3 linked regions of the Danio rerio genome follow. The protein of the gene in region 3 purifies or fractionates together with the protein of the main gene of each other region. This does not show direct contact. Links are inferred from orthologs where the notes say so. Each region holds a gene or a part of one and is shown on either strand. Other genes may lie near its edges.

Region 1 (4,459 bases), on a different chromosome or scaffold from region 3:
AAAATCATGAAGAGATTATTAACTAAAAGCCTGTGACCACCACTGTCACACACAGAAATCACCACACGATAAGTCACCACAAGTCTTAAAAAGACCTTTTTAAATGTGATATTCATAAATACGCAAAAAAAAAAAAATAGGTGGATGGAAACTAGAGTTGCACAATATTGTAAAAATTACACATTGTGTTTTTTTTAATTCGGCTATATATATATATATATATATATATATATATATATATATATATATATATATATATATATATATATATATATATATATATATATATGCATATATATATATATATATATATATATATATATATATATATATATATATATATATATATATATATATATATATATATGCATGCATGCATGCATGCATGCATGCATGCATGCATGCATGCATACATACATACATACATACATACATACATACATACATACATACATACATACATACATACATACATGTATATATATATATATATATATATACTGCGATATGAATACAATTTCTCTAGATGAGTTTGACAAATGTTTGTAAAGAATCTATAATTTTAAATAGATTGAGAAGACTCTGTAGGGGAGTGCATAAAATATAATAAACAATCCACATGCATAGATAAATTCAATAAAGAAATATATGCTAATTAAATAAACAGAGTTTTAGTGTTTTCAGAGGAGTCAAAATGTATTCAGATATTCAGAAATTGCATAATCATGTGTACAATAAGACTGTATAGTCTTCGTTTTGTAAACAATTTCATAAAATTAATCACTATTCATTTTTCAAAGTTACAAACGGTACATTTTCAATTATAATCCAGACTCAACATAGTGACTATTGAGAATGATCACATTGCGATATCAATGCTGAATAGATATATTGTGCAGCCCTAATGGAAATGCAGCTAATGTCTTGTGGAATGACAGAGAAAGAGAGGGAGAGAGACAACAAAACAAAAACAAAAGCCACATTGCACAAAATAAATCAACAACGTAGTAATCAGATGTAATATATCAGATACTGAAGATGTGATTTTCCCAGAGATGGGTTGCAGCTGGAAGGGCATCCGCTGCGTAAAACATGTGCTGGATAAGTTGGCGGTTCATTCTGCTGTGGCAACCCCGGATTAATAAAGGGACTAAGTTGAAAAGAAAATGAATGAATGAAGATGTAATCATAAAAAATAAGTCCTGAGACATAACTCTATGCTTAAAATGAATATAGCTTAAACTTCTGGAAACAAAGTGCCCCTTCTGCTTTGTTTAAAGCAGTAGTGCCCAAGATTTTTGGTATAAAGGGCCAAAAACCAAATATCATTGAGAACCATGGGCTGAAGGTAAATGTACCAAACTATTTTATGTTAAAGTTGCCATTTATTGGTAAACATTACTTTATATCATATTAATGAATGTGTAAAAAATTTTAAATGAAAACTTACCGCAGTAAAAATCACATTATAACAGTGGAGTTCAATGCTGAAAACACTAGTCAAGCAGAATCTGCCTTTGCATTGATTTGTCCTTTATCCGTCCGGTGACGGTATGTACATTTAAACTAAATCTGATTAATTTACACCATTTAATTAAAACATTTTGTCTCAGTTAGCTTTTAACAATAAAACAAACAATAAGAATAGCAATAAATCAAACAAACAAACAAACAAACAAACAAACAAAAGTTTACATTAGATTTGAAATGACAATCTCTAAACCATCCCTATCATTCTTCCTCTTCTTAGATAGGATGTCAGCCCAAATCAAAAGTTAACATGGGCCAACTTTGGCCCACAGGCCCTAGTTTGGGCATCTCTAATTTAGAGCGACAGATCGCAGTGATTAACCAATCAGAATCAAGTATTCCAGTAATAATAATGTAAACAATGACAGAATAATAGAAGGTATTTGCACGAAACCCTCCTTTAAAAGCTATAACGAGCAATTTATTTATTTATTCATTAAAGCTAAATATCCACAAACTAAGCACACCGTAATGACTCAATAATGACTTCAAACCACACTGAACTGAGCTAAACTGAACTGAACTTAAACACTAAAAACTGAACTACCCTGATCCAGTTACTATGACCATTTATGTGAAGCTGCTTTGACACAATCTACATTGTAAAAGCGCTATACAAATAAAGCTGAAGTAAAAAAATTTAATTAAAAAATAAATCAGAATGTGTGTTTATTCACATGCGCGCGACCGTTCCAGCTCAAGCACGCGCAGAATCCCACATTGAAGGGAAAAATGAAGGGCTAGAGGAGTATTCACGAGCAAATCGTGCACAGACGGGTCTGAAAAGAAGTGCTAATATGCTTGTTCCTGCAGCGACATGCATTCGGCTGAAATACACGAACAGGAAGTGCCTGAAATCTGCATTACGACTAACGTTAAACATTTCCAGAAATCAGGTCGGCGGAGGCGAAGCGTGCAGTGGCCAAATTTACTCAACTGTTTAACGCAGTAACTTAACATGTCGATCTCGTTTCCACAAGTAAAGGTTTATATAAAGGTTGAAATAATCATTAAAGGTTTTCTATGTGACATATACTGCTGGACACACCCCATACAGGATGCTTCAATCCTCCAACGTGAAAAACAGCGAATTGCCATTCAGAACTGAATCAATAATGAGTGTGTTTTTGTGCTATTATATGGGTGTGAAATGAAATATGTCTCTTGTTAAAGTCTGCATGCATTATATGAGCGATGTGACTGAGACAGGAAGATCTTCCTCTTACCCGTTGCTCGCGCTGTCGAATTTGAGGCTGAGAGTCTCCTCTATGATCCGATTGTTGATTTCCAACAAAATCATGATGATTTATGTGAATGTTAAATGGCTATGTGCAATTAAAAATATAAGAGTTGATGTTGTTTTATTTCTACAACGCTGCTACAATCGTTTTGGTTTTCCTGCTCCTGGACTTCTGGCCGCTTCCGCATTGACTCGAAAGACCCGCGGGCTGCCCGCGTCACCGCCTGATCGTATGTGCTAATCATTTAAACAAAATGTTTTTGACCAAAATTAAGCGTTTTCAAGTAAAAAAAAATCTTCTAGGTTACATTCAGGATGTTTTTATTTACTTTGTTCATGAATCGTTTCCACACTTTATGACCAAATAAAATCCCATGACGTGTCAACTCCTCCTGTTATCGTGATTTGCTTACTAAATAAGGAGTTTTAAAATCACATTGCATTTGTATTATTTATTCCTTATTTCTTAAAGAAATTACCTAAAGAAACATAAAACAGCGTTTTTGTAAATTTCAATGCCTTTATTTGTCCTCTATAAAGCAAATATATTAGCCTTACAACATTAGGTAATAAATGATAGAGCATACTGTAGTATTAACTATCGTGAACTGATAAACTGCAATAAACCATGTAGTATATTTAGGTTTTTCGTTTCTACAGTAGACTATGTAGTTATAGTATTAGATCATTTGTTCATATTAGCTATTATAATTGTTGTATTCGCAAAGCTAGCTACCATAGAATCAAGCGATCAGTTGAAGTTAGTATGGTACAAAAACACCTACTAAGTTATTCAAGCCTGGTTATGGTCCAAAAGCACGTAGGCAAGTAGCCTACTCAAGCCTGGTTAATATAGTCCAAAAACACTTACTAAGTTATTCAAGCCTGGTTAATATGGTCCAAAAGCACTTAGGCTAGTAGCCTACTCAAGCCTGGTTAGTGTGGTCCAAAAATACTGACTAAGTTACTCAACCCTGCTGAAAAATCCAGCTTAAACCAGCCTAGGCTGCTTGGCTGGTTTTAGCTGGTCGACCAGCCTGGTTTTAGAGGGGTTTTGGCCACTTCCAGGCTGGTCCAGCCATTTCCAGCCTGGTCTTAGCTGGTCAGGCTGGGAGTTGACCAGCTAAAACCAGCTTGACCAGCCTAGCCAAGCTCGGAGTCCAGCCAAAACCAGCTATATCCAGCTTAAACCAGGCTGGTCAGCTGGTTTTAGTTGGATTTTTTCAGGTCATTTTCCAGCCTGTATAGCTAAGACCAGGCTGCAAATGGGTGGAAACCAGCCTGGAAATGGCCAAAATCCCTCTAAAACCAGCCTGGTCGACCAACTAAAACCAGCAAACCAGCCTAGGCTGGTTTAAGCTGGATTTTTCAGCAGGGAAGTCTGGTTAATATGGTCCAAAACATTTACTAAGTTACTCAAGCCTGGTTAATATAGTCCAAAAACACTAAGTTACTCAAGCCTGGTTAATATGGTTCAAAAAACACTTATTAAGTTATTCAAGCCTGGTTAATATAGTCCAAGACACTTGCTAAGTTACTCAAACCTGGTTAGTATGGTCCAAAAACACTTAGGCTAGTACTCAAGCCTGGTTAATATGGTCCAAAAACACTTATTAAGTTACTTAAGCCTGTTTAGTATGGTCCAAAAACACTTATTAAGTTACTCAACCATGGTTAATATGGTCCAAA
Region 2 (2,929 bases), on a different chromosome or scaffold from region 3:
AAATAAACTAGAAATTCCAAGGGTTCAGTCAAAGCAGGGTGAATCTGCCTTCAGCTGCTGAAATCAGCTTCCAGAAATGATCAGATGTGCTCCAACATTAGGCACGTTCTACTCAAGACTCAAAACACATCCGTTTAGCTGTGCCTTTACTGAATGAGCCCTGTGCTTCGTTCAACAGATCACACTATTGTGTCTTTCTTTTCTTTTTCATTCGTTTGAGACTTTCAACACATTTTAATCTATTTTTATTCTTTGTTGTTTTTATTTTCTTATACCTGTTTCTTTTATTCCTGGTTATGTGAAGTACTTTGAATTACCATCGTGTATGAAATGTGCTACATAAATAAATTTGTCTTGTATATCAGATGAGAAAATGTTGTCTTGGAAACCAACTGAAATAGAAACTCATAAAAGCTTTTTACATCTTTGACCCACATACTGTATGGCTACAATACTGAAAATATAATATTAAAAGCTAATTCAGAAAACTGATGTGTCTTTAGACGCTAATAATAATACTGTTTCTCTTCAATAGACTTTTATTTGATCATCTGCTGTTTTACATGACAGACCAGAAATCAAATACACTTGATATAACCAGTACAAAATCTGAATAAGGGTAAACAGGTTTGCATAAACATTAAAGAAAACAGACAGACAAAAAAAATATCCATCCACATCCCGCACAGAGGTACCAACTGAGATCCTGAGTAGGTTCTTACTGGCCCGGTGCAGACAGACTTTTGTTCATGAACTGTTTCTTTACAAAACACACCCACCACTGTAGATAAAAAAAAAGGAGAAAGTGTTATTAAATAATCACTGTTTGTCAAAATGTTTTTGTGAATTTTGGTGTGAGTATTTCAGGGAACATATATTCTACAGTGTACAATGTAGTACAATTTAATAAAATGTTTCAATTTTATTTAAAATGTTTCCATATAATGCAAAACTTTCTTGAACAATTATACAGGTTGAACATTATAATAATGACTTTAGAAATGTGTTTGAGAAAATAATAGCTGAATACACAATTAATTGAAAAAAGATTGCGATCTCGATTCGACCCACTAGACGATCTTAATCCAGCATTTCTATGATTCTGCCAACTGCTGCTGTCATATTTTCAAGTTCAGAAAAGAAGCAAAAGCGGCTGCACGAGTCTTTTCATTGTTTCACATGGGTTGCTCAGCAACATGGACACCTCCAAATGATATTAAAAGAGTCACATACTGTATTTATAAGGTACAATTCACCTAAAAATGTCATTTTTGTCTTCATATAATACTGTATTTGCGGCCGGGAAATCACAAGTGACGTGAGCTGCTGACCGTGAGCTGTTACCTCATTGCTACTTAAATGATAGACGCGCGCACGTCTACTTTAGTGAACAGAACCTGCATAGGCTGTGAAAAACAGGTAATAAAGTTGTAAATAATATTCAGTTTGTGGCAGAGAGTTCGTTTGAGAGCCACACGCAGCTTTAGTCACAATACAAATATAAATGTTCAGAAGTTCTATTTTACAGTATAATCTGAAAAGAAAAATTGGTTTAATTGTCATTAAAAAAACACTTGTAGACAAATGTTTTAACTATCATGAAAAGGAATGTGACCTTAAAAAGTAAAAAAAATGTGCCTTAAGCAATCTTTCCTTGACTTTTTTCCCTCGGTTCTTCTTGTTTGCATTACAGTAACTACTTTGAAGCACATTTTTCCTTCACTGTCATTTAAAAAAACGTCCCAATGCAAGATAACAGCAAAAAATCCTTTAGTCTTGCCAGATAAATTGATGAATTAATATTTAATTCAGGGTTTCTGCAGGTTTCACTGAGTTAACTTTAAGACATTTTTAAGAACATTATGAGTAAAATGTTAGACTTATACAGAGCTAAATGCTAAAGACATTTCCCCCCGAATATCGCAGTTAGAAAAAACATTCACTTGCCTTAAAAAATTATTACAATTTAATACATTTAATATTAATAATAAAAATATAGGCCAGGTCAGTAACCTCAAAAGTAAATAAATGGAGAGCTTTTAAGCAAATATTACTGTAAGGAAAGTAATTAAATGCAATTTTTAAATAAAAGTGAAACATTTTATTGATATGGATTGTTGGTCATTCTATGGATGGTAATGGCCAGATTGGGTAACTATACATGACAAATTTTGTTAAAATTCAAAATATTTAAGACCTACAACACAACATTTCAGTAGATTTAAGACTTGTTAAGGCCTAAAATTTAGCTTTTGACATTTAAGACATTTTAAAAACCCACGGATACTCTGCCGATTAAATTCACCTTGCTTGGTTTGTCTGTCTGAGGGTCGAACACTCTGTCACACAGTCTCAGTCCGGTCTCCTGGCGGATTTGTTGCAGGTAAGCTCTCATGTTTTCTGTCAAGAGAAAAAAATACAGTATTAAATCAGTCCAGAAATATCCCTTTTGAATAAACCCATCATTTATTGCTCCATACCTTCCTCCTGCTTGCTGGAGGGTTTAGCATACATGGCGTTGAGAGGGAAACCAGGCTCTCCGGGAATGGGGAAGTTGGTAATGCCCAGCGTGTACATCTCCTTCTCTCCTTGGCCCCGTGAACTGCACTGTAAAGCATTCATATTATTGAAGGTTAGATATGTATGAAGCATTACCTATTAGAGTATGAATCTTTCATTACCTTTTGGAGTTTCTTGAGACATTCAGAGATGTAAAGAGTGATGTAGATCAAGGTTCGATCAGCCTCATTCTAAAGCAAGTTAAAAATAATATTTTAATACAAAATCTTTAACATTTAAAGGACAGTTCACACAAAATGTACATTTCCCAGTCATGATTATTCATTACAGTTTACTCCAAACCTGTTTGAATTTCTTCCTTTAGTAAAGCGAACGAGATTTTAATTGACCTCCGTTGTATATTTTGGGT
Region 3 (3,084 bases):
TGTAAACAGCTGTAGAAAGCAGGATTGCTGTGTTTACGCAGTTAGGTGAAATAAGTGTGAACACCGCACCAAACCAATGAATGAATAAATGACAACTGCTGGAATGGTGGGTTTTGGTCCGCTTCCAAGTGATTTGACTGAAGTAACAAAAGACATCTACACAAACCAAAAACAGGACATGATGTCCCAAGATGCAACCCAAAAACAAAATGCTCTAGCATGCCTGATCAGTCAGTTTTTTCTCAATATACACCCCAGAAATCTCTTTCTATGCAGTGCATCTTTGTTTATGTATCAAATATTGCATTCTTTACAACTTTACAAAGCTCTTTATGAACTCTCCAATACTTAAAACAACAACATAATATGCAACCACATACTATGAGCACTTTATTTGCTTTGTATACTTAGGTTTAGACTGAAATGACCTAGACTAAATGTGTGTATATATTTTCTTTTTAGTCCAGACCAAACTCCCCAAGAGAAGCGAACTGAGCAAGAAATGTAAAGGTTCTTACCGCTGCCACAATGTTGTTCTCAGAAACAAAAGTTACACTCAGAAGAGCAAGGAATTCGGTTTTCAGCTGACTCGGCCTGCAAAAGAGATGCGTGCAGTTATTCATGATTGACCATGATCTTTTACAAAAGGTCTGCCAGCAAATACAAAATGGTTTAATCATACTTAACACACCGACTATCTAGGATACTCACGTTGAGCTTATTGTGGGGTCCACTACAGTGACAGTACTGTCATGGCTGACCCAAGCCAATCTGTTTCCACTGGCAGAGAAACAGACGCTGTGAACCCAACCTCCACTTCCCGCCCCACCAAACTCTGTCATCACCTGCCCAAAGGGCATTTTGGAACCCCACGGGGTTGGAGCTGGTTTCTCATCCACCTCCTTGATGTATGCAGAGAACACCCTAAGAAACAAACAAACACATATGAGCACTAATAATAATAATATTTCATTACTTAAAGACATTGCATGTAGACAAAGTCTCACCTGCATTTGAAGTCACATGACCCAGCTGCCAGAAGCACATTATTTGGATGCCAGTCTAAACTGAGGACAGTTGAACGGATGGGCTTTTTGATGTGTTTACTAACCCACCTAAAATTAAAAATAATAATTAATACCTGAAGAATTACATTTTTTAAAAGTGCAGTGGCACAAGATTTTAACTGAGACCAACCAATCATTTTCAGACTCAAAGTAGCAAACGGATATGAGTCGAGCTCCACTCCCCACTGCAAATTTGTTCTCCAGAGGAGACCATTTCACAAACGTGGCAGCACGGTTGATCCTGAGAATAACAAGGGTGGGTTTCCACACGCCGTCCTTTTGACTCCATACATAAGCATTTCGGTCCGCTCCACAGGTCACAATACGATCACTTTTAGGAGCCCAGTCAATGCCTAGAAATAAAAACAAAAACTGTTTGCTGGTAGCGTTTTCACAATACTGGAATTTAGTACTAATCGATACTGAAATTTTAAAAACGTCAATTTCCCATTTAATCACTGTTAAGCACAATCCTAAACACTACTGATTTGCCGTTGTGTTCACATGCTCAACAGAAATGACTGTAATTGGCTGTGAAGGTCATCGGTTCACCGAACTCACTGCTGTTTACTGAGTGTAACCACAGACACAGGGACACTGGAGCATTTCAAAGTCACCTCGATCAGTTGGTTTGTCTATAAGCTGATAAACAAGTGATCTGCTGATGAATGTCCTTGTATCTGTGTTTATACTCAGTAAACAGCAGGGAGTTCAGTGCACTGATGACCTTCACGGCCAATTACAGTCATTTCTGTTGAGCATGTGAACACAACGGCAAATCAGCGCCGTTTAAGAACGTGCTCAACAGCACTTAAATGTTAATGGGAAATGGACGTTTTTAAAATATCAGTATCAATTGGTACCAAATTCCAGTATAGTTCAACAAAACATTTGATATTAACAAAGCAAGCATGATATGCTTCTACAGTCAGATTTGCAGGGATCTGTACCTGTGATGTGCCCATTGTGTTCTTTTAATTCATGAACTTTCACCCACTGATTTCCACTTTTCTTGTATATATGGACTTCGTGGTTGTTTGGGCTGATAGCAATTTCTGTCAATAAAAAGCACAACATGGGTTTAGACATCAATTTAAAAAAATTATAAAAGTATAAAAGGAATGAAAAGCATCTTACGGGTCCTGTCCCGGTTCCATGCGTGGCAGGTGATGGGTTCCAACAAAAACTGGTGAAGTGACATTATCTTCAAAGAATTTGCACCTCTGCCTGAAAAAGTCGCAAAACTCATGTTTGATTGCTATGCCAGTAATAATATAATAGTAATATTTTCTACATAACACCATCACTACTGTCTGGTCTAAGGATATCAGTGGATATATACAACCTTTCTTTTCTGACCAAATTTGGGACACTATTCCATCCTCCTCAAAAAATACAAATCGTCAAATGATACATTGGAAACAATTGCATAGACTCTATTTATCCCCCCTTAAAACAAATTTAACACCTGACCCAGATAGAAATTGTGGTTCACAGAGGACAGTTGGCACTTATTTTCATTATTATTGGAAATGTCCTGCACTTCATTCTTTTTCATCTCAGCTGGCACATGATAGTTCATTTTTGTTAGGAAAAGATGATTCCTGAATGATTTTTCTAACATATCACTCTCAATGCAACAAAATAACTTACTCTAAGCTTCCTTCACAGCTGCTAAGAAAATGTTGGTCTGCCGCTGGATCCCCCCTCATATAATGAGTAGATCAATACGGTCTATCTTTGCTGGACATTATTTGTATGGAACTTTCAACAGGAAGCATACATGGAGCTCAGTCAAAAACTGTAAAGTCCTGGATTATAGCTTTTGATATTGTCAAATCTTTTGTTTTTACCCTCTAATGTACAGCTTTTCTATTTATATGTACTTTATGCAGGGCCGGCCAGTGGCATAGGCAGTATAGGCAAATGGTAAGGGTGCTGTACATCCAGGGGGGCGCCAGAAATGGGGGAAGAAAAAAAAAGTGCAACTTTAACTACTCTTAAAACTAGTTGGTAT

What was found.
Region 1: the proteins of arpc1a (region 3) and arpc2 purify together in Homo sapiens (affinity purification with mass spectrometry; 8 studies listed by BioGRID and IntAct, counting the BioPlex papers as one, with this or other methods). This does not show direct contact. The link is inferred for Danio rerio from reciprocal best matches to the Homo sapiens genes ARPC1A and ARPC2.
Region 2: the proteins of arpc1a (region 3) and arpc3 purify together in Homo sapiens (affinity purification with mass spectrometry; 8 studies listed by BioGRID and IntAct, counting the BioPlex papers as one, with this or other methods). This does not show direct contact. The link is inferred for Danio rerio from reciprocal best matches to the Homo sapiens genes ARPC1A and ARPC3.

What each region holds. Positions count from the first base shown.
Region 1 is NC_133184.1:49,933,510-49,937,968, forward strand, and holds the start of arpc2 (actin-related protein 2/3 complex subunit 2), read right to left. Parts: upstream 2,949-4,459; 5' UTR 2,831-2,948; coding exon 2,757-2,830; intron 1-2,756. UniProt on the Homo sapiens protein: Actin-binding component of the Arp2/3 complex, a multiprotein complex that mediates actin polymerization upon stimulation by nucleation-promoting factor (NPF).
Region 2 is NC_133196.1:18,453,742-18,456,670, reverse strand, and holds the end of arpc3 (actin-related protein 2/3 complex subunit 3), read right to left. Parts: intron 2,751-2,929; coding exon 2,682-2,750; intron 2,608-2,681; coding exon 2,481-2,607; intron 2,401-2,480; coding exon 2,306-2,400; intron 782-2,305; coding exon 719-781; 3' UTR 520-718; downstream 1-519. UniProt on the Homo sapiens protein: Component of the Arp2/3 complex, a multiprotein complex that mediates actin polymerization upon stimulation by nucleation-promoting factor (NPF).
Region 3 is NC_133178.1:39,753,714-39,756,797, reverse strand, and holds part of arpc1a (actin-related protein 2/3 complex subunit 1A), read right to left. Parts: intron 2,295-3,084; 5' UTR 2,269-2,294; coding exon 2,205-2,268; intron 2,123-2,204; coding exon 2,018-2,122; intron 1,421-2,017; coding exon 1,198-1,420; intron 1,116-1,197; coding exon 1,008-1,115; intron 925-1,007; coding exon 712-924; intron 595-711; coding exon 519-594; intron 1-518. UniProt on the Homo sapiens protein: Probably functions as a component of the Arp2/3 complex which is involved in regulation of actin polymerization and together with an activating nucleation-promoting factor (NPF) mediates the formation of branched actin networks.